Caenorhabditis elegans: one gene and its partners. The protein of the gene in region 1 interacts with the protein of each later gene in a pairwise test. Each region holds a gene or a part of one and is shown in the gene's direction. Other genes may lie near its edges.

What was found.
Region 2: the proteins of dro-1 (region 1) and ehn-3 interact in a two-hybrid assay, tested with the Caenorhabditis elegans proteins (one large-scale study listed by BioGRID).
Region 3: the proteins of dro-1 (region 1) and xnd-1 interact in a two-hybrid assay, tested with the Caenorhabditis elegans proteins (one large-scale study listed by BioGRID).

What each region holds. Positions count from the first base shown.
Region 1 is NC_003281.10:13,339,002-13,345,204, forward strand, and holds dro-1 (Protein Dr1), read left to right. Parts: upstream 1-3,682; coding exon 3,683-4,099; intron 4,100-4,181; coding exon 4,182-4,319; 3' UTR 4,320-4,606; coding exon of another isoform or gene 4,607-4,661; 3' UTR 4,662-4,711; downstream 4,712-6,203. Other genes in the region: F53A2.3 (Phosphoprotein), read right to left, coding at 1-34, 678-759; nud-1 (Nuclear migration protein nudC), read left to right, coding at 2,529-2,632, 2,680-3,538; ife-1 (eIF-4F 25 kDa subunit), read left to right, coding at 4,607-4,661, 4,823-5,288, 5,335-5,509; acaa-2 (3-ketoacyl-CoA thiolase, mitochondrial), read left to right, coding at 5,958-5,970, 6,041-6,193.
Region 2 is NC_003282.8:5,414,278-5,422,128, reverse strand, and holds ehn-3 (Zinc finger protein ehn-3), read left to right. Parts: upstream 1-2,906; 5' UTR 2,907-2,933; coding exon 2,934-2,975; intron 2,976-3,207; coding exon 3,208-3,297; intron 3,298-3,666; exon of another isoform or gene 3,667-3,687; intron 3,688-3,960; exon of another isoform or gene 3,961-3,981; intron 3,982-4,074; coding exon 4,075-4,299; intron 4,300-4,642; exon of another isoform or gene 4,643-4,663; intron 4,664-4,693; coding exon 4,694-4,822; intron 4,823-4,870; coding exon 4,871-5,008; intron 5,009-5,058; coding exon 5,059-5,223; 3' UTR 5,224-5,430; downstream 5,431-7,851. Other genes in the region: spp-7 (Saposin B-type domain-containing protein), read left to right, coding at 6,367-6,464, 7,129-7,285, 7,338-7,472, 7,763-7,851. UniProt on the Caenorhabditis elegans protein: Together with the zinc finger protein ztf-16, plays a role in gonadogenesis, specifically in somatic gonad precursor cell development. This is possibly by regulating tra-1 gene expression.
Region 3 is NC_003281.10:5,601,474-5,609,977, forward strand, and holds xnd-1 (X chromosome NonDisjunction factor), read left to right. Parts: upstream 1-2,986; 5' UTR 2,987-2,987; coding exon 2,988-3,360; intron 3,361-3,406; coding exon 3,407-3,596; intron 3,597-3,646; coding exon 3,647-3,738; intron 3,739-3,785; coding exon 3,786-3,987; intron 3,988-4,076; coding exon 4,077-4,323; intron 4,324-4,780; coding exon 4,781-5,119; intron 5,120-5,163; coding exon 5,164-5,745; intron 5,746-5,792; coding exon 5,793-5,876; 3' UTR 5,877-6,083; downstream 6,084-8,504. Other genes in the region: madf-11 (MADF domain-containing protein), read right to left, coding at 1-187, 236-288, 331-558, 1,128-1,399, 1,448-1,709, 1,754-1,845, 1,891-1,957; C05D2.8 (DUF7064 domain-containing protein), read right to left, coding at 6,101-6,365, 6,850-6,960, 7,005-7,245, 7,649-7,724, 7,775-7,906, 7,959-8,129, 8,332-8,504.

The sequences.
Region 1 (6,203 bases):
AAGGTCGATGAACCATTTGAGTTGGCAGCTTCATCTATAGAAAAATAAAACTATGGTGATTTTTTTAGGTGATATTTCAAAAGTAGGCGCAAAAATATATAAATATAGACACCAGGGGTTTGCGTCAAATTTGCCGAATTTGCCGTTTGCCGAGATCGGCAAATTTGCCGAATTTGCCGACCACATCAAAAATTTGACAGTGCAATTCTGACCAAAACTATTTACTTTGTCGCCAAAAATTTAGTAAAATGACACAACATTGAGTTATTTTTATGTTTGAGCAGACACACTACACGGAACTTATTCGGAAACCAGACGTTTGTTCAGAATTCAGCTTGCCAAATTTGCCGAATTTGTTGGCAAATTTTGAGATTTGCCGCACACCCCTGGTAGGCACGTCTATGTTTTTTTTGGAATTTTTCTGGTTAAAATTTGTTTAATTTTTTTTTGGCAAAAAAGGATTTTTTTTTGTTTTTTAAGCAAAAAAGGAGTTTGTGGTTTTTTTGACAAAAAACTATTTTTTTTTTTTGGTTTTTTGCCAAAAGATTTCTTGCTAAAAATAAAATTATTTGGTATATTTTGTTCATTTGACAGGAATTAATTTTTTAATTTAAAAAAATGAACATCATTTTTTTGAGATTCGCTATTAAAAATTAAAATATACAAAAAAAACCAACCGTAATTCAATGAATTATTCAAAGTTTCTTTGCACTCCTCCAACTTTGCCAAAACGTCCAGAATAGTTTCTCGGGAAGCCATTGTCTCCTAAAAAATAGGTTAAGTATTATTATGAAACTGTATATAATTCCAGTAAAATCTATGATATTTTATTTTTGAGCAATATGTAGAAAAATGCACCTCTGCTAAACTAAACATTAAACATAAACTAAACGAACATTATCATTGAATATCGAAAAAGTGTATTCAATTTTTTCAGATATTACAATTTTCAACTACAACCGGACCATGTGGAAATTTGCGCGGAAAGAAAAGGAGAATGTGTCCCGCAGGGGTAAGAGTCATTGGTTTCGTTGAAATCACGTTGAGTGGGTGTACCATCTGTTGGGGAAATTCTCTCCCCCTGGTCCGGTTCTGACATAATCTAGATTTTTCGAGAAAATCAAGTTTCAGTACATACTAAATTTAAAAAAGAAGCTAATAAATTAATGAGAAACTATGCAATCAGCTTTTTAAATAGTCTATCGAAAACGGTTTACTGGTGTTTTCTTTCTTCTGTTTTTCAATATTCTATTACATTAAATGTTCCTATAAACTAATATTACATAGACGTTTTGAAAATGGAGAAATTCGCCATACTTGACGCGCAAGGTCTCGCAGTGAATGCTCTTTCTCTCCGTCTCTTCGCCACATACTCTCTCACTGCCGCACCGCTTTTTTTTCAATAAAACAGGGTAAATTTAGTGAATTGATTTGAAACTCTATCTGTATTTAAAATAATAATAATTATTATTAAATTATTATTAAAAAAAGTGTGTCAACATCTATTTTAATTATGTTAACTACTAAACATAAATAAAATGCGTATTTTTTTGCAAGAAAGAAAAAAAGGCCGCGTAAAAAGGGAGACACAAATAGTGTTCTAACTAGATTCTCAACGCGATGCGTAGTCTAATATGAACGCAGACATACAAACAAAAACGAGAGGTGACCTCGTTTCCAATCTAATTAGCCATGCTAGCGTGTACTGAAGTGTCGAACGTCTAATTAGAAAAAAGCAATTAAGCATACGTAATGGCTTTTCTGTCTTTTTTGGAATAATTTGTAAATGGAAAAGTGAACTTAATCAATATTTAAGTTGGATTTATTATCAATAGAAAGTTTCAAAATGGAAAAGGTCTCGAAAAATCCAATTTCTAAGCGTGTGCATTTTTCTCTTTGATTAGCACCATCTGTTCTTCAATTAGACCCGTTTTTCTCTTTAACGGGAGAAATAGTAATGCACTAGGTAACTTATTGCTTTTTTTTTCTGAAAATTACTTTGAATTCAAATTTGAATTTTTAAATTTCAAATCAAACTACTGTAGCATCGAGTTTCGCGTCAGCACGAGAGTTGCGCCAGTCGCCGCGCCAAGGCGCCTAGAAAAAACGGCGCTCGCAATTTATTTTCAATTTTACACATTTTCTCTCCTAATTTATCGATTTTGCGGGATTTCGCACAGATTTTCTTTGATTTTTCAACTATTCTCATTGTCCCAGAAATATAATTGAGCATTATGAGCCACCTGCTTTCCCCAGGCACTTGCAGTATCCATGGGAACATGGCGAAAATAGGATTTACCAGAAATTTCGAAATAACTCAATTTTTCTAGTGATATTTGTCAAAATAAATGGTTTTCTAGTTTGTAAAATAAGTTTTTAACTAGATTAAGTAGAATTTGTCCTGTAATTATTGCGAAATAACTATGTTTCTTGATTTTAGGCTCTATTTTCAATAATTCCGGATTTCCTAATGTTTTTCTTCGTTTTGGAAGTAGTTTTTATTAATTAATATATTTAAATTTCAGAAAATGTCTCAATATGAGCGATTCGACTCGGTGCTGCTCTCCATGGCCCAACAGCTGAGCGGCGGAGTGCCTGAAATGCTTGATGTACTATTTGAATTTCTTTCGAGGTAAGAAATTTTTTCAAAGTGCTTAATAAATACATGTTTTGTTTCAGAAAGACGGATTTCTACAGTGGCGCTGGTGTCGATCAAGCCCGGACCCTTCTCCTCGAAAAATTCGATAAACACGGTGGAAAGGCTATGAAGGAAGCTGAAGAAGCCAAGAAACGGAAGGAAGAGCAGGAGAGGAAGCTTGCTGAACGAAGAGCTGCACAAAAAGCTAAGGAAGAGGAAGAGTTCCGAAATGCGAAAGTCGTGGAAGTCACTGATGAGGAAGCGGCCGCGTTTGAAAAGGAACAGGCTAAAAATTCTGTTGAAAATCTTGAAAAATTCGTCGATAACGAAGGAGAAACATCGAAAGACGCTGAAGTCGAAGATGAGGACAGTAAGCTCATGAAACCAAATAGTGGAAATGGTGCGGATCTTGCCAAATATCAATGGACTCAAACACTCCAAGAACTCGAGGTGAAGATTCCAATTGCTGCTGGATTTGCTATCAAATCTCGTGACGTTGTCGTCAAAATAGAGAAGACTTCAGTATCTGTCGGCCTGAAGAATCAAGCTCCGATTGTCGATGGAAAGTTGCCTCACGCCATTAAAGTAGAAAATTGCAACTGGGTAATCGAAAACGGGAAAGCGATTGTCCTAACTCTCGAGAAGATCAATGATATGGAATGGTGGAATCGATTCCTTGATTCCGATCCTCCAATCAATACTAAGGAAGTGAAGCCAGAGAACTCGAAATTGAGCGACTTGGATGGAGAGACACGTGCCATGGTCGAAAAGATGATGTATGATCAGAGGCAGAAGGAGATGGGTCTTCCAACGTCTGATGAGAAGAAAAAGCATGATATGCTGCAACAGTTCATGAAACAGCATCCTGAAATGGACTTCAGCAATGCTAAAATTGGATAATTCTGTGAATTTTGTGAGATTTGTTCCGAAAATATTATATTTATATTCGCATAAATGTACTCAGTTTGATATTAATTTTATTTCATCTTTAAACTTTTAATAATGTATTTCTCATTCCTTATATCTCTTTTAGATCCCTTAAAAATGCAGTGCTTCAACACAATTTTCAGACTCTTCACAGATATGGATGAGGACAATGAAATCGGACTTCCACAGAAAGGTATCAACCAAATTATCAAAGAAGTTGTTCCTGAAATGCGAATCGCCAACGAGTCGAGAGATATGATCAATGCTTGCTGCGTTGAGTTCGTGAAGCATATTGCGAGAGAAGCACAACGAATTGCGAGCCAGGATCAGAGAAAAACAATATATCACGAACATGTTCAGAAGGCACTGCAGAATTTAGGATTCACACCAGATTATCTCGAGGCCGCCGACAGTGTTCTCGATGCCTGCAAGGTTGAAGCCGAGAAGAAGCTGCGAAGGAAGAACTCTCGTCTTGAAAAATGTGGTATTCCAGAGGAAAAATTGTACGAAATGCAACAAGAATTAATTCAGAAGGTAATTTTTTGAGGTTTTCAAAAATAATTTTGTTTTTATAAAACAAACACTCATTTCCTCAATGTTAATATTTATTTTACAGGCACGCCAACAAGAAATTGAGCAGCAGCTTGCTCACCAACAAGCACAAGCCGCGGCGGTAGCAGCCGCAAACGCACAAATGTTTGGAGGACCATCAGAGGGCTCTTTGGCTCCAACCGACGATGACTACGACAACTAGATTGTTTTTCTTCGCTTTTTTTTTCTACGGGTTCTCATTTTATTTCTTCATTTGTGTATTTACCTTGATTCATCATCGATAATTTCTAAATCTCTTTTTAAAATTGTTGTACTATATTCCACCATTTCCTATTTTCCCCGTGAATTTTTTTACTGACCCGCTCCATATTTCAATGGCACGTCATTTAGGGCACGATTAGTTGGCGTTTTCCCCAGTTGTTCTCGGCTTCTCAGATCAGTCCTGTTTTTGCCTTGCCAGTTGTCGAGGTGCGAAAATTTTAAGCGCAAATGTCAGATTCTGAAATAGCATTTGAGAAGCTGAAAATCTCTGGGGAGAAAGAAGGTGAGCCATTCCCTTTTTCATTATCGTTTGAGTACTATAAATTATTCACAAAAAAACTGTTTCTCGCCGTTTTGCATCACTTTTTTGGTTCCACGTGCCCATTTTTATTTGCATTCATTTATTCTCTCTGTTTACTGATTTTACTAATCGAGTTCTTCCAGGTATGACTGAAACGGAGCAAACGACGGCACCCATTTATCCGCTGAAGCGTAACTGGACGTGGTGGTATTTGAACGATGAGCGCAACAAGTCTTGGGAGGATCGTCTGAAGAAGGTGTACACCTTCAACACCGTCTCGGAGTTCTGGGCTCTCTACGATGCTATCCGTCCACCAAGTGGCCTCAACGCGTTGTGCGATTACAACGTTTTCCGTGACGATATTCAGCCGATGTGGGAGGTTCCGGAAAACTCGAACGGAGGACGCTGGCTCATCGTCATTGACAAGGGAAAGACTCCCGAAATGGTCGATGCTATTTGGCTGGAGATTCTCATGGCTTTGGTCGGCGAGCAATTCGGAAAGGACATGGAGTCGATTTGTGGGTTGGTGTGCAACGTCAGAGGAAAAGGATCGAAGATCAGCGTCTGGACTAAGGATTGCAACGATGATGAAACCAACATGAGGATTGGGTATGCATGTCTATTTTTAATTCTATCTTGAATTTTGGAATTTCAGAGTTGTGCTGAAGGAGAAGCTGATGGCCGCATCCAAGGACCACTCAAAGCCACTGTTCGATGTGATCCGCTACGAAGATCATGAGAGCTGCCAGAAGAAGACCAGCTCGGTTGTGAAAGCCAAGCTTTCATTGCACTCGTCCGATGCTCCAGTCGCCGAGAAATCCGCCGTCTAAAGCAGACCATTTTGTATCTGCTCTACTTGTTTTTTAATTACACCCGTTGCTTGGCTAGTATTTCACTCGTTGTTTTGTGATTGGTTTAATAAAATTGATGAAAATTAATTGTATTATATTGCCTTGTGGTTTCCAGGCCCAATTTTGTATCTTATTGTAGTGTAGAATGTAGCCTTTAGGTCAGAGAACAAGTAGCGGGAATGATGATAAAAAAGACACCGCGAAAGTCGGCCATTCTGCTTCTTTTTCGTCTCTGCGTCTCTTCTCTACCTATCTTATCGGCCCAACAAACAACCGAAAAACTTTATTTTTGTTCAAAAGCCCCTCTCAAAATAATTATGCAGTTTTCTAAATGCCCTTTTTTTTAGGTTTTTTCACCTCTTCCTAATAATTTGTTACTACTTATAAGAACGTTTTTATTTACAGAACCACACAAATACACTGCAAAATGGCAGGAAAATGTGAGTGGGGGTCAAAGTCCATGGTCGTTGTACTAATAAGTGATCAGTGATGTTTATATTATGTCTGCAGGTGTGTTCATCGTCGGTGCCAAGCGTACAGCATTCGGAACTTTTGGTGGAAAGCTGAAAGGATTGAGTGCAACTGATTTGGGAGTCGTCGCTTCTCAAGCAGCGCTGAAGCACGCTAATGTTGGAGCAGATGCCGTCGATCATGTCATCTTTGGTAGAAAGAT
Region 2 (7,851 bases), on another chromosome or scaffold:
ATGGGAAAATGCGATTTAGGAGAGAAGGAGAAATTATACAATTATTTCAGAAAAGAAGAAGCACAAAAAGAGTGAGACAGACACAAAATGGGGGTGCAGATGGCAAAAAACAACACCAATCTCTGTACAGGAAGAATGAGGAAATGGAACAAAGTTTTTTGTCGGCGGCGCGGGATTTCTCGAATTTTAAATGGGTATTCGGATGTAAAATGATGAGAAAGAGAAAGAAGAACGGAAATTCAATTTACGCATCCGATGAAAATAACAATTTTCAAATTTTGGTTATAGTATTAATGGGTGCCCAGACAATTTTGAGGCTAATTTTTTTATACAGTGTCATGAATTGTAGAACTTTCGTCTGAAATTTCTTTTAAAAATTTGAAAAAATTCAAAAAAACAGGCTCCGCCTTTCTTCCACTTATCTTTTTTTCGATGGATTTTTTCGACTTTTTTTGTACTTTTTTTTAAACATATTTCTGCAATGCCGTGGAGTTAACTGTATATTTTCCGCTAAATCCATTTAATGAAAAATAGTTTTTACATTTTTAAGAACAGTGTGATTACAGTAGTGGTTTTGTACACTTGTTGCGAACTAATTTAGCGTTTAAGGGAATAAAATACCTATTCTTAATTTAAAACATTTCAAAGCATATCCATTAATGCTGTGCTGCTTGGCATTTTAAGAAAAAAATGAAACCGAAAAAAAATTAAACACGGATTCATGAAAATCGATTCTCATGTCGTTTTTTTTTTTGAAAAACTCAAGCAAATTTCTACAATTTCACTCAACGAAAATTTATTAAAAAATTATATTTGTTCCAGTGACGTCATGAAGAACACTATCTAGCGCACGGCACTTTTTGAGCGGAGCCTATGGTTCCCAAGAGGTCCCGCTCCAACAACTTTGTGCAACATTTATAGACCCCGGGAAAAATTTGAATTAAGGGGTAATCCTTTTTTCATTTTTATTTTCATAATTGTGAGCGGATTGTTGGTAAAGCTGCTGTGAAATAGGCGGCTCAAATCGTTAAAGTCAAATTTTAAAAATATTTGAAAGATTTGGAGAAGAAAGTCAATATTCTACCCGCGACGTTTTTTTTGTTTGAAGAACCACTAAACATAAATATGCCCTAGCGTTAAGGAAGTCTATCAAAACTATCAATACTATAGTATACTGTAGTTACAAGGATATTGAAACAGTTAAAGATTTACATCACTAAAACTAATTTCATATCACTTTTGCAGTATCTTGTTTCAACTTAGTATTTATGATTTCTCATTTTTATTATTTAGACTGGTAAGCAGAGAGAAAAAAGCTGGGAATTAGGAAAAAGTAACAACATGAGCAGAGGAAGAAGAAGAGCAACAAGAGCATTAGACAGAATTAGTGATGATGTAGAAGGTACAAGATGAAAAATAGCAAAAAAATAAGTAGAGAATAAAATCAAAACTTTTTCATTTTTCGGTTTTTGGACTACTTTAGAAACTGTAAACAGAGGAAACAGTGGTTTTGTTGGACGTTAAAAACATTTGAATATTTCACATTTAAAATTCCGTTGCAATCAGTTTGAATTTAAAATACATTTAATTTCTAGCTATGTTGAAACTGTGAAATTTTCGGAAAATGCGAAAAAAATGTGACGGATTTTTAAATATTTTATCTAAATCTTCACCGGATAATTTTGGAAATAATACGTTTAGAGGTCGAGCATGATCCCGATTAAAATTAATTAATTGTTAACTGTTTTATGGACTATTTGAAACGTGTTCAATTTGAAAAATGGCATTCATTCTTTCCATCAAACTCATAGTTATTTTTCAGATCTGAAAAAATATCAGAGCCTATTTATCTCGATTGAAAACATTTCTGCCTTTTATAGCTTGATTTTAAGGGTTTGTTGAAACAGTGATATTTTTTTGAAAATAAATGAAAACATTTTCTTGAGTAAGACCTCTCCAGCTATCTTTGGATACTGAATAAATCAGATCTCATACACCAAAAAGCCGATAACTAAAAATATAAATATTATTTCCAGAAGTTTATCACGGAGAATCTTCGATTCCTGACATTAAAATCGAAAGCATTTTCCATTAAAAACTAATATTTTTGCACTCTTCACCTTCTTCCGGCATGTAATCCTATATTACAGACATCCAAGGTAAAAGAGAAAAAACTTGATTTCCTTTTTTCCCTTTTTCTCCAGAAACGTCTTCCAATGTCGTCTTCTTCCTGGACACATTATGCTAATTTATTCGATTTGTGCCATGGTTAATGTATTAGGAAGAAGGAAGAGCATTACGCTATGAACAAAACGCTTTTTTTCGCCACGTGATTTGCGGTTTTGCAGGAGATGGGGGATTCTATTGTTGAAACTAACAAATCCTGAAACTCATAAAATTTTAGTGAATTCATGAATCTGTAAAAATTCTGAATTCTAACAATAATGAAAAGACTTTACAGAGATAAATAAAAACCGAATGAAACATTTAAAATCAGTCAAACAAATGTTTTCTATGAAACAGGAAATTTAATTCTAAAAAAAAAAAAGGATTTTTTTACTCGTACAGTCCAAAGTACTGTAACTGTTCTTAAAATTGACCCCAATTGTAATTTAATATCAATTTGTCCACTATATTTGCTACCTTCTCTTCCAAATCATGAAAGTGACCTCTGACTATATATCACCCCAGTTTGTCACCAACCATCTGGCAAGTAGCGGCAGCCGGCTTATCTGTTATGTCGGAAGATGTGCTTCTTCTCCGACTTGTTAAGATATCTGACACCTAGGATTGTATATTTCCCCCAAATGACCTTCGACAGTACCCGAGAAGTTATAAACAATTTGTGCTCCACCCAAAGTTTGGAATAGAAAATCCTATAGTCACTTTCTGACACTCTCTGACTTTATTCCTCCCAGCTTCCAAATTACAAAATGGAAAAATGCGATATTTGTCACCAGAAGTTTTCCAATAAGGTGAGTGGAGAGTACTAAAGGTTATAGGTAGAAACTAAAGTGCCTACCAGGTTACTTATGGTTTCGTAAACTACTTTCTTGTTTGGCTCTTGAAAAACTGAGACGCAAGACTCAAATCTTTAGAAAATTTCTTTTTAATTATCAATTTACAACATTGTTCAAATCGAAAAGCAACAAAAAACAAGTTACTAAAATCGTAGAAAAATTTTGATTTCCATGTATATTTTTTCAGACAAACTTGAATCGTCATAAGGTGATGCACAGTGGAAAAAAGAAGTTTGAATGTCAGTTCTGCAGAAGACCTTTTTTTCGGAATGATCGGGTTAGTTCTTGTGGTTTTCCGATAAATTTGTATAGAGGATATTTTATTGAAGTTTCTTTATAAAGTTTAGTCGTTTTAGTACAAGCTTTATCTCTAGTGACCAAAAAAATTCACTAAGTAACCTACTTTACGAAAGTTAATTACTTGAAATTATTCCAAACGCTTACAAATAACTCGATTTTTTTGTCGAAACGTTAAAAAAAATGCTAGAAAAAAGCTTCCTAAAAGTTGACTCAATTTATCACTCGTACATCAGATTTAAAGCAGAATGAAACAATCTGTGTTATTGATTTTCAGAAATTGACACAAAAATTTTAATTATGTGTTTCATGATGTTTTTAATAATCACTGAATGCAATTTACGATTACTGGTATCTGTGATTTGCGAATCTGTTCAAAAATAAATGTTTAATGCCAAAGCACTAAAAAATTAAAAGAGAATTAGCACCCAGCATGCCAAATGATGTAGGGGAATTATTTTTCTGTGGATGTGTACTGATACGTTGGCTTTAATTTACTGTTAGCTAGAGAAAATTTAAAAGCTTTGTTTTAAATATTTTTATTGAAAACAAAGTTAAGATTGTTAAAAGTCGTTTACTTTTTCCAGATCTGACCATCAGTTTTTTATATGAAAGTTTCAGTTATGCAAGAAAAGTTGTATTTTCAAATATACTTTGAGAAAGATCGAGCTTTCTAGTAGTATAAAGCATTAAGCATTATTTCTTGAAACATTAAACAGATTAGAAAACAATCTCTTCAACTTTTAATCCAACTCAGATGAAAGAGCACATGATGACCCATATCAAGAAAGGAAATACCTTTGAATGTCCCATCACAGCGTGCAATTCAAAGTTCAACAGCTTCACGAGTTTGCAGTTTCATGTAGATTCGGAGCATATCATAAGAGGATCGTCTCCAGCTAAATGTAAATCTTGCATCAAATGGTTCAACAGTTCCCATCGTCTTCTGCTTCATTTTCATACTGCACACCTGGATCATACGGTGAGTACTTTTTTCTGTGGAAGAATTGAAGCACACACTGTTTTTATTTGGATTTTACATCAGCTACTTGCTTACGAGTAGGTTATAGCTGTGATGTGTTAAGTTTAGCCTACGTTTGATCCGATTCTTGCCGAATGTTGACTAAACTTTTCATTTGAGACTAAAAGTAAAATTTTGAAAACCGTTGGGTCTTGCAATCGAAAATACTTGAAAGCTTCAAAACATTAGAAAAATTGATCTAAAATAGAATTCACTATACTCGAACTTCTCCACATAATTGAATTGAATTTCAAAATACTTTTTCGCTATTTCTACAAAATCTCTACTAAAGTCAGACGTGCACTATGTATAGATTGGATTTTGGTAGATATATATAAATCTCCTTAGTTTTCAGAAATTCTTCTCTTTCAAACCTGCTCCAATTCTTCCAAAATCCACTACTTCAATCTTGAACCCCATCAAGAATCCAGATGATTTTGATAGAATCTTTGACTTTTTCAAAACTGAAATCGCACCACTCTTTGTAAGAAATTTGAAATTGAATTTTCAACTGGTAACATAATATTTTCAGCCGCTTCATAGCACTGTTTCACAAGCCCCATTGCCACAGTGCTCTAGATCTGTAAAATCCGCAAAAGAGTTGTCTCCAACACCATCTACGGAAATCGAAACTCCCGAAGAAGAAGAGTTGGATGGTCCAGAGAGCTGGGTATGTACCTCTGGGAAAAAACGTATTTTGTAAAAAAACAATTATTTCAGTACTGCGATTACTGTAAAATCAGATTCGATGACAAAGTGATGTGGTATTTGCACAGTGGACTCCACTCAGATGATATTCCGTTCAAATGCTCACTTTGTGGAAGCCTATGCGATGGAAAATATGATTTTGCTGCTCATCTCGTTTACGCCAATCATAACTTCTAAAATATAAAAATGTCGATTCTTTTTCAAAGTTATAGCATGGTTCAATTTATTGTTAAGTACCAGCATCAATCTTATCAATAATGTTCCTCATCTTCTGTTGGGATGTTTTAAAATACTTAACTCTGTTCTTGTGTGAATTAATTGTTACATTTGTTTCTGTTAATTGTTTTATATATTTGAAAGTTAGAAATATGATTTTCTCAATTATGGTAGTTGATTTTATTTCTGAAAACTTCAAAAGATTTACTAAAAATTATTGATATGCGAATTTTGCAAAAGTTATGCTGATTATTTTTATCTTCAGGAGAGCAGTTTTAAGGAGGAAATGCCAAGAGTTTTAGATTAAGAAATTTCAAATTTCTACCAACAGATTTTAAAACATTACTCCTGATTTTAGGACAATGAAGATTTTCGCATTTTAAAAGCCTAATTAAAAAAAAACGGCGAGATCAATTTTTCTAGTATAAAATGCTCCTCTGAAGATAATTTTCACAAAGTGTCCAATTAAAAAAGTCATCTCTAGGAGTGATAACACTTTGAATTTCCGAGATTTATTGAAAACTTTATTACATCTCCAACATTAATAATAAAACAAATTAAGAAAAAAGTATTTTACAGTTTTCTAAAGTTTGATGTATTTATAGAGTTTTGCTCTTGAAATATTATTCACAATTTTGCCTCTTTTATAAAAATATCAACAAAAAAATTCTCAAAATTCTCAAGCTAATATCCCATCTGAGACATGAAAAAAGTGATCTTAAGCACGATTCGATTGTCTCCAAACCCTTTGTTCATCATTTTCGTTCAATTATAATAGTACACATACAGTAGGAGGTAGTGGCGAAATAAGGCAATCGAGAGGAAGGATCACAAGTGTGCAAACGATGCTCTCAACTCGGGTGCTCAAATTCGCACATCTCGAGTGTCTGCGTCTCTTCATCTCGCACGCTCTTTCGGCGCTTCTCTTACCAAATACAGTGCTTGAGGTGCGAAATATAGAGAACATAGACGTCTTCTTCTTCTTGTCTTTATTTTGGGCTCCCGGGTAGCTCCTCCTATTTTCAATTGTTTCTGTTTCACTCATTGAATTTCAATAATAATAATAAGTTCCGTTTTCACCGGATCTCAAACTCTCTTCTTAAAATGAGAATTAATTTATTTTTCGTTTTTGCCGTGTTAGGTCAGCAATTTCAAGTCACTTTTACATATTTTTGGAACGAAGAACCAGTTGTCAGAGAGAGGTGAGTTTATTTTGATTAAAAATGATCAATTTTCAAATAATTTCACTAAATATCAAATTGTTGAAACTGTACATTTTGTATTTAGGTTTTTTTGAATGAGTAACATTTTTAAAAAGTTTATGCGAGTGTCACTTTTTTTCCATGTTTTCAAAGAAAATCAACGAACTTGAGAAACCCTCCTTTCAAGAGCAATTTCAAATTTTCAGTGCATCTGTGCATCCCCTACTATTTTTCAAAAATTACAATAATAATATGGATATCTTGAAAGAAAAAATTCAAACTCAAAAAATTTTCCATAATTAATTGATACAACTAAACTTTCTAGTTGATTCTTAACACAGAGCACCTGACTGCTGACACATAATAACGAAAGAAAGTTAAAGCATGTGATATATCACATAGTGAATAACTAGATATATAAAATTCTTGATACTGTGCATTTTTATTAATTTTTTCTCTCTTTTTTTGAGATGATTTCAAATAATTTCAAATAATTCAAAGATTTCAAATATTAAAACTACTTAATGCTTTTAGTCTTGTCGAACAAAGAATTTTCAAATATGTATCAATTATTTAGATAACTGATAAATAACATATATTATTTAAGAAACAGAAAAAAATTTGTTGAGTAGATTTTATCATAGAAACAATTTCAAATTTACAGAGCATCTCCTTCTCCAAATGGAAATACTCCGTCTAACTTGGGATGTTTCATGTGCACTCAATTATTGTCAGTTACAAAACATCGAGTTGGTCTATCGGAGAATCAATTGAGAAATCAATTATATGAGAAATGTCGAGTACTTCCTTCTGTATTCAAGGTGACCGAATAATTCACATTTTTGAATTTTGAATAAACCAAAAAGATGTTAGGAAAATTTACAGGAACAATGTTTCGCGTTTGTGGAGACCTCACTTCCAGAGATCTATTATTCAATTAATTATGATATTTCTTCGAAAGATGTGTGTGTTCGAATGAATTTTTGTGATGAGAGAAATCCATTTGCGGTAAGTTGGATAGGTTATGATAGTTCTAATTTTCATTGGGACTGGTGAAAAAGATAAATTTTCAGTAAACTTCTAGAAAACGAAGCGTTGAAAATAGTGGGAACGTACAATTTAGTGCTTTTGTTTCAAATGAATAGCAAATATAAATTAGGTTTCGTTAAAAATATCTACATTTTGAAACACTAAAAAATAAATGTAACAGTTTCAAAACTCCCACTTAAGTATTTCAAAAAACTGAATTGAACATTGTTCCACTTTTCTAAACAATAAAAAAAACTAAAATTTTAAAGATCGGCGGTCCACTTCCATCAATCGAAGCTACAACTCTGTACCCAGAAGAAGAAGCTGAGGAAATTGAACTTCCGACTACTACAACAAG
Region 3 (8,504 bases), 7.7 Mb from region 1:
ACCTATTTTACACTCTCCATCAGCTTCTAAAATAATCTCATCGTCGGCAATTGGGACTCCATCGGTTAGAATTTCTTTGGGTAGACACGGGGCATTTGATGAGGTTGATACACCGACCATTTCACTATTTCGATGACCCACTTCCAAGTGTATTTTCTTTTTTGGTGGTTCCGATGGCATATTTGAACTGAAATGTTTTATTAAGTGAAGTTTAAGAAGTAAAAAAAAAACTCACGAATCTATAAGTTCTGGCATCGAATCATAAACCAGGGAGTTTGTTCGGTGAGGCTGAAAATTTAATTCTTATTTAAATAAATTATTTTTTCCTACCATATGTACCAATCTTCTAGATGAAGCCACTGTAACTGCAGGTTGCGGCGTTGCACTTCTATGCGCGGAGACCATTTTGTAAATTTTCGTATTCGATTGAGCATAGGAGGGTGATGGTTCCACCTCCACCAATACACCTTGTCGTCCAAACGGATTAACTTCCTTTTTGACTTCATTCATTTGATGTTGTTGGTCTGGATTATTCTTCTGTGGCATACGATGCTGTTGCTGGAATGAAAAAAAATCAAAAAATTGTTATCGGACTACGAGCTCATCAACTACAACACGGCGAATGAGCAGATACTGCAGATATTGGTATTGCTTCATTAGTCGCGCACACAATGCAAGTTACAAAGTGTAATGCACCATGAAGCGGGGTCGAACTTGTGGACTGTTGCTTTGCAGACGAGAGTGTTAGCCAGTAGGCCACCCGTGCATCACCGCAAGCGAGGCCGGTAAGGGGTTTTTGAATGCTTGCCTTTGCTATTACCCAGACGTGAAATTTGCGATTTTTGCGCCAAACATACGGTACCAGGTCTCGACATGACTAATTTTTGTTAAATACAATAAAGTGTGCGTCTTTAAAGAGTACTGTAATTTCAAATTTTTGTTGAAAAGCTATGAAAATCGATGAAAATTCCGTAGCAACAAAAGTTTGGAATTACAGTATTCCTTAAAGGCGCGCATCTTGTCGTATTTAACAAAAATTGTTGTGACGAGACCGGTTATCTCATAGTCAGCAAAAATCGGAAAAATTAGGGTCTGAGTAGTAATTACTTCATCGTTTTTGCACTTACCACTATCCGCTTCGGCGATAATGGATAAGTTCGAACAATTGCCTCTGTTTCTCTTGATTGTGGTGATTTTCGACGGGAATATGAAGATGTGGGAATTTGTTGATGTGGCCTAACATGAGGCTGAATAACCACATAATCGAACTTCATGGATTCAGAATTTCCGAGACTTTGTCCGGGTTCTAATACATCTTCTGCCAGCGGAACGTCATTATAGAAATCCTTATCCAGTCCGGAGGACATTGCGGTGAGCTGTGAAGGAGGTCGAGAGTCTGCTGAAAATATAAATGATTTTGGTGTATTTCTTTGCAAGAAACTCTTACATTTCTTCTTAAAAATCAATGAATCTGTCCATCGCATTGCCTCAATTAGTCCATCGGACATATCAATCGATTTTCTAGCATATTGATCGAGAAGATCCGACCAGACTTCCTGAACAAGAGTGATGTCCTGCCAAACTATATCAGCACGTATCCGATCCCATGCTTCTCGTTTCTGAACCTTCAACTGAGCATCCGGCGTGGCGGCTTGCATCTCCTCATCGTAGAGAATCGGATTTTCTCGAACCATATTGATTAGTTGAAGCTGAAAATTTGAAAATTTTGAATTTTAAACGTTTTCCAGCTTACAAGTGTGTATTGCGTAGTTTTTACGGGTGGATCTTCCCTGGAAAATTGTTGTTGGAGGTCTCCAGCACCACCGTGGGAGCTTGAGGCGACACCTGGAAAAATTATTGGAAATTCTGAATCTATGAATATCGATTTACTTGTCATTGAATGCTTGAGACCGGCGATTTGATAATCCTCTGTTCCGTGCCGCCGTCGGTCGCTCATTGGAAATTTTTAATAATAATTCTGAAATTTATTTTCTTCTCAAATTCTCGCAAGTTTCTCAAGCATTTCTAGCTGCGTTGCGTGGCGATTCCTTCCCGAATTCGAGTTTCATATCAATCTACGATCCATTGAACCCAATAACCCGATTGGCAAGAAGATGATCGTACACACTCATTCACATAGGTGATAGACGTGCTACAGACCGTGGGAGACTCGAACGGGTAGTAGGGCGGAGCCGGGAACCGCGACGCAACCGAAACGCTTCAGAAACCGCAACGGAACAGGCATGCGAAGCGGTCAAGATTCGAAAAAGAAAACGGAGCGAACAGGCAGAAAAACATCGATAGATAGGCGCGCGTGGCCGAGAAGGAGGCGAGACGAGACATCTAGGCCATCGATGGTTTCTCTGCGTCTCTCAAGTGAGTAAATAAATGGTTTTGAGAGGGTAAAATGAAGAAAAAGGATTGATCGAAATTTAAAAACTTAGTCTAGGAAAGGAAAACAAAGCAGGGGAAATCTGAAACAAAACATATAAAAACACACATTTTAACTATTTTTCAGAGTTAAACAAATATAATCTAACAAGAATTCAACTTCAAAGTGAAGATTTCCAGAAACGAAAATGGTTATGTGATTTAAAAATGTGATTTGTTCAAGGAATTACAAGAAAACTCTGGTTTAACATTTGAAGAAAATCCATATTGCGAAAAATGAATTTTAAAAGAATTATTGACGGTTTTGAAATGTGAAATTTTCAATAAATTTCGAAAAATAGATAACTTTTTTTAAATAAAGAAAAACAACGAAAAAATATTTCAGTGGTTACGGTAAACAAGCATAAGAGTGTTTGCGTACTGCGGACCAAAATCTTCGCGAGACCTCGGGTACTGTAGAAAATTTAGGTATTTTTAAAACTTTATTTTTCTATTAATTTCCCTTCTTTCTCATTGGGATTTTCTAGTTTTCTGGTAAATAAAAACAGTTTAAATTTAAATTTAAAAATTTTATCTCCATATTTTTTGTTTCCAGGATGTCTTCTGAACCCATTGTTGCCAATCTAGACAATTCCATGACGACAGAGCCTGCACCCGCAGCTTTTCCACCAATATCCCCAATGTCATTTGCTTTTATGAATGAAGAAGAACGAGCAGCGGTCAAGTTTCCAAAAGTTGATCCAAAACCGCAAACTGCTAAAGATGATGAACCTTCCACATCCCAGAAAACGTTGAGCGTCGATGATCTTCTGATAGTCGACGACGACGACGAAACTGATTCACCACCGGCATCTTCTAGTAATTATGAACCTAAAGCTCATATTGGATGGGCTTCATTCGGAGATTCCTGTCTCCCACCTCCACCAAAGCCAGTTAAAAAAGCTACGGATCCAAATTTGCCACGAAGAAGTTTGTTTGCAAATGGTCCTCTGTTAAATAAAAATATTGTTTTCAGAAGTCTACGTCATTCGTTCTCAGAATACAGACAAGTCGAAGTCCCCGTTAGTTGTTAATAACCAACAAGTAACACTCGAAAAGGCACAAAATTCTCCAAAAAATCCGAATCCTGTTGTATCTAAGCCAATAGTGCTTACAGACTCTGATGAGGATGTGGACGTTGTTGGATTCGACGAAGAGGAGGAAGCGTTAGTTTTTAAAAAGTTTTTTATTAAACAAAACAATCACCCGTCTTCAGAATTAAAATTATGGCCGACCCTACACGCCCACCAGATCTTCCACCACAGCGATCTCTGATATCCAGATTTGAGTCGAATCGAACCAAAAGAGGTATTTTCCATGAAAATTTGATTTTTTAAAGCTCATTTTCTCTTCAGATATCTTCCGAAACAGTTATGATTCTGATGAGGAGGAATTTCTGCGATCTCGGTACCAGCGAGCTGTCACACCGCCGCCAATTCTCGAGCGACAAAGTGGAAGTACTCGGGAGTCTGTAAGCGAACCAAGTGAAGGGAAAATTCTCGAGGAAGACGCAACGCTTGGAAGTGAACATACGGAAAGAGTCGGAAAACGAATTGAGTAAGTTGAATTTCGGGTTTTTGAAAACCTTGACTTCCAAAATAATGACAATTTGTTTAATAAGTCCTGCTAAAAAGCAAATTTTCCAGATTGGAGGAAATCAATCCATCACAGCTTCTACGAACCAAAATTTCGGCGAGCGCAATTCCAATCCTTCCACTCTCCAAATCGATAATGGAACGTAAAAAAGTAGCTCTGGAGATGACGAAAAACGCCGTGATCAGACAAGCGAATAACTTCCGTCCAAAAGCCAAAAACAGTACCGTGGCTCCAAAAAGTGTCCAAATTCCTGCATATAATCATAAAACTCCTATGACGTTCTACTCGAATATGGCGGTAAATTATATATTTTTGGAAAACCCTAAAGTGGAACTTCAATATTTCGAATTTTCCTGCATTATCATTAACAAAAAAACTTTTCAGCAATTACTAGTGTTTTTCATCCAATAATTATATTATTTCATTCCCTGTTTTCATCATAAGCAAAAAATATTTTCATCTAATGGTTGCACAAAATGGTAAATTTTTTGAAGAACTACAGTAACCCAACTCCAGTTTCTCTCAATAAATTAAAAAAATCTTGGCGAAAAATAAGAAAGTTCAGCGACATTGAAAAGAAGAGGAGAAGGGTTACTGTAGTTCTAAAAGGCGCTTACATTTTTGCGCCGGGATGATTGGAGATAATTGTTCGTGGTGCGACCGTAGTTCTTCCTAAAATTTTGCCACTGGCTAGTACTTTACAAAATCAAATTATTTGTGGCGAGACCTACAACGAACAATTTTCAAAATTCAGGCCCCCGCCTTCGTCAAAGGAGTCAATGGAAGATGTTATCGTTGCGCCGAAATTCAAAAGCCTGTGGATATGAGCTCCTTCCGATTCGTCGACGATTCTACCGTTATTGCCATCCGTGCTCATCTTTGCGATCAGACACGCGTCATGGTAGCTAGAACAGCAATTTGGAATCGAGAATACGCGAAACGACTCGGCGATCGAGCTGCTGGAACTGTTTGGCAGAAACCGGACGAGGTGTCGGCTCAGATGACCGGATTTTGCAGTGCGACGGTTCGTAGATGTATTGAGATTGCCAATATGTCTATCATTCCAAAGTGTGCTGATCGTGTTGGTGTTTCGGTAAGTTTCAAAGAACAAAGAAGATTTAATCTAACTTTTTTCAGAGAAACGAACTGACCTCCCTGAAGTCTTCTTTCGGATCCGAGAAGTTTTGTGGGCAGACCATGCGAGCTCCACATGTACTCACTCAGTTCTACTCAGTTAATCAGGCATCGATGGCTCGTAATAGGGAAGGTTCTGATGGTCCTTCTTCCTCAGCAGCAAGACCGGTTGGAAGACCACCCACTACGCAACCAGTAGAAACTGCAGTGGAGAAAAAGAAGAATGATGAAGATGAGAAAAGACATCATCCACTCACAAACTTCACAACAGCATCCACGTCTTCCCAAAATCTGCAAGATCAACCACCACCCAAGAATACCGTTCTCCGCTGGTCAAATATCACAACTCCGAGGATTCTTCGTCCACCAACTCTCAAAACTCCCTACTCGCTTCCCAGGACTGCAGTGATTCCGGTGATGAAGAAGAAGCAGCCCGAAATAGAGCAAGTTCAGCCGAAGAAGGACACGACGGCAAGCCTTGTTCGCAAAAGAGGCCGCCCGAGAAAGGAGAAGCCTCTGGAGGTGCAGTCTCCTCGCAAGGGACTATATCTTCGCTTCAAATCGTGCACAAAGTATATTGTTCGGGTAAGAGAACTGAACAATTTGAAAACTTGAAATATTTGGTTTTACAGACTCCAATTGACAAAAGTGTCCAAGAAACGGTGAACTATCTACTGGATGAGGTTGACAAAAGGGCTTCAACTTCTGCTACGTAGCTGCTACAATCTCTGTTCTTTTGTTTTTGTTTTCTCGTTCTAAATGTTTTGTTGTCTCATGTTTTTAGTTCTTCGGAACTTGTTATCCCCTCCCAGTGTTTTATTATTTTTTGTACATTTTACTGTTGCTCTGTTCTGCACGTTGACCCCACATTTGTTAGTAGCATATGAAACGGTTTTATAAAGTAAGTGGAAAAGGTAGAAAATCTGAATTTGATAATTTTTTAATACGGCTGAATACGATACTCGACTTCCGCGAATCCCCATCCCGGCTTTCCGTCGACAACGAATTCGCTCATTCCTTCGGTGACCTGACATGCTTGATCCAATCCCATTTTGAATGAGACGGCTTCCTTGATATGAACATCTGCGTGATGAATCTTGCCGTCAACTTCGAACGAGTAGTGGAAATCATCAGGGAAATGACGATCCTCTCCGTGGTTTGGAAGGGAGAAGTGTACACGATCCACTGGCTTCGTCTCACCAGTTCTGAAAAAAAAAATTTAGGTTCTGCCCATTAAGGAAATTACTAGAATCTTTTGCGAGAATACGGTACTCGGTCTCGAAACGACTTAAAGGACACTTATAATGATCCAAAACGACGAAAAATCATAATAAAACACTCCAAAAATGTTTATATTTTTCGTAAGCTTTCGCAAATTGCCAAAATATTGAAAAATAGGAGCTATTGAGAAAATCTAAAGCAATGTTGCATACCCCTACAATGTGTTAATACGAATAGTTAAAACAAAATTAAAGTATTAAAAAATGTGATAAAAAAACAATTTTTTGGGGTGACTTCGAAAATTATAAGTGGAAAAACTGAGTAATTGTCACTTTTTGACATATTCCGTGAATTGAATTCCACGGTTTCAAAACGCTGTGAATGTGTGGTGTCTCTCGCAGAAAAATTCAAATGCGCCCTGTTGAGCCATTTTATGTGTTTTCTTGGAGCGTAGATGCATCAACCCACGGTGTAACAATATATCCAAATTCAAGGTGACTAAAAACAGTTTCTGGCATTGAAATAACCGAAGTATGAACACATGTACCATCTTCCAAATGGTAAATCATCATGATATATCTGGAAATTTAGTCAATCTACGATGCAAACAAGTTCCACTTTACCTTCGAATGTCTGACCATCTGCGGTATCCAGCAATCGTGTGATCTCTCATGCTCGTCATTCGAATTCCAGAAGCAGTGTGATTTCCAATTCGAAAATCTCCAGAAATCGTTCCAAATTGTTCATAGTGTGACTGATGGGATGCTCGCATTTTATCGAAGAGTCCACGGCTCCATGGCTCAATTGCTAAAGAATGAGCAATTGCAGTGGGGGAGCACATCTTGTCGAAATCGAATTGATTTCCTGGAAATAGAAAATAAAGTAAAAAGACGTGCGAGGCCAATAAGCGGGCGAGGCTTGAGATTTCACAAAAGCGTGGGTGGCGCCATCGAAGATTTCTTGTAGTCACCAAAAAAGCAGGACACTTACCGCGAAGCTCACCCGCGGAAAAGATTCTTTGAATTTTGGCTATCGCGGAAGAAAAAATATTTTCTCTGTAGGAGGTGTGCACAAACAATTGACATTGAATTTCAGGACATAACCCTAAATTGCTTGCCCCCTTTCCAGAACGTTCGCTCTGCGGTAGATTACATTCCCTAGGAAGTGCTAACCAGCTCTTAAGAATATTTATCCGTGTTCTCCACGTGGACAACATGAAGATTGACTTTTTGAAACGAATTTCACTAGAACCGTTAAATTCACAAACCGAAATTCGTCCAAGTCAGGTCGAAATTTGCGTCAAAAATCTTTATGCCATCCTTCATCTCCTCGGATCCGTTTTTCTGAAAATTGACAATACTTTGTAAAACATAGGAAACTCCAAAAAACTCACAATAAAATTGATTTTCCCCGGTGCTGAAGCTAATTTTCCATTGAACTGTATTCTCCACTTTTTCATTGGTTCAATGCAAGAAACGATGAAGCCACTTTCTGTTTTCCATTCTTTTTCCGGACATTGGATGCTCTGAAAAAACAAAAACGGTTTCTGATCACATCATTTCTTTTTCTTGGCTCACCTTAACATTTGTGTCGGTATGAAGCTCCTCGTTCACAAAAGTTCCAATTTCTGGAATTCTGAGAATAAAGAATAAGTTTATAATATTGTTAGGTCTCTGAGCTGTTCCAAGTGTAATGTACCATCCATCTCGGTTCGAAGCATCAAAAAATACTGCGTCGGCGGACCAGTCCTAAAATTTTTAAAGGTTTCTGGGCCACCTGGAAGCTCTAGGATGTTCTGTGATATTTCTAGGCACCCTTATTAATTCTAGGCCATCGTCGAAAAATCCCAATTATCTTCAAAATTTGCAAGCAGCTTTCAGTATTTCTAGACAACCCCAGATAGTTTTAGGCCAGCCCATATGCTTCTTGGCCTTTTTCTTTTCAGATTACCTGTTTCATATCATGCTTCTTTTCCATTTCCACAATATCCCTCTCTCCTCCATCACCACCCCACTGAGAATTCATCAAATTTTCTTTATTGTCCTCTTTGTGAGATTTTGATTTCGAGTTTTGTTTCTTCTGACGCCGATCAATAACGAATCTCATTAGGTTGAACTTCAGGA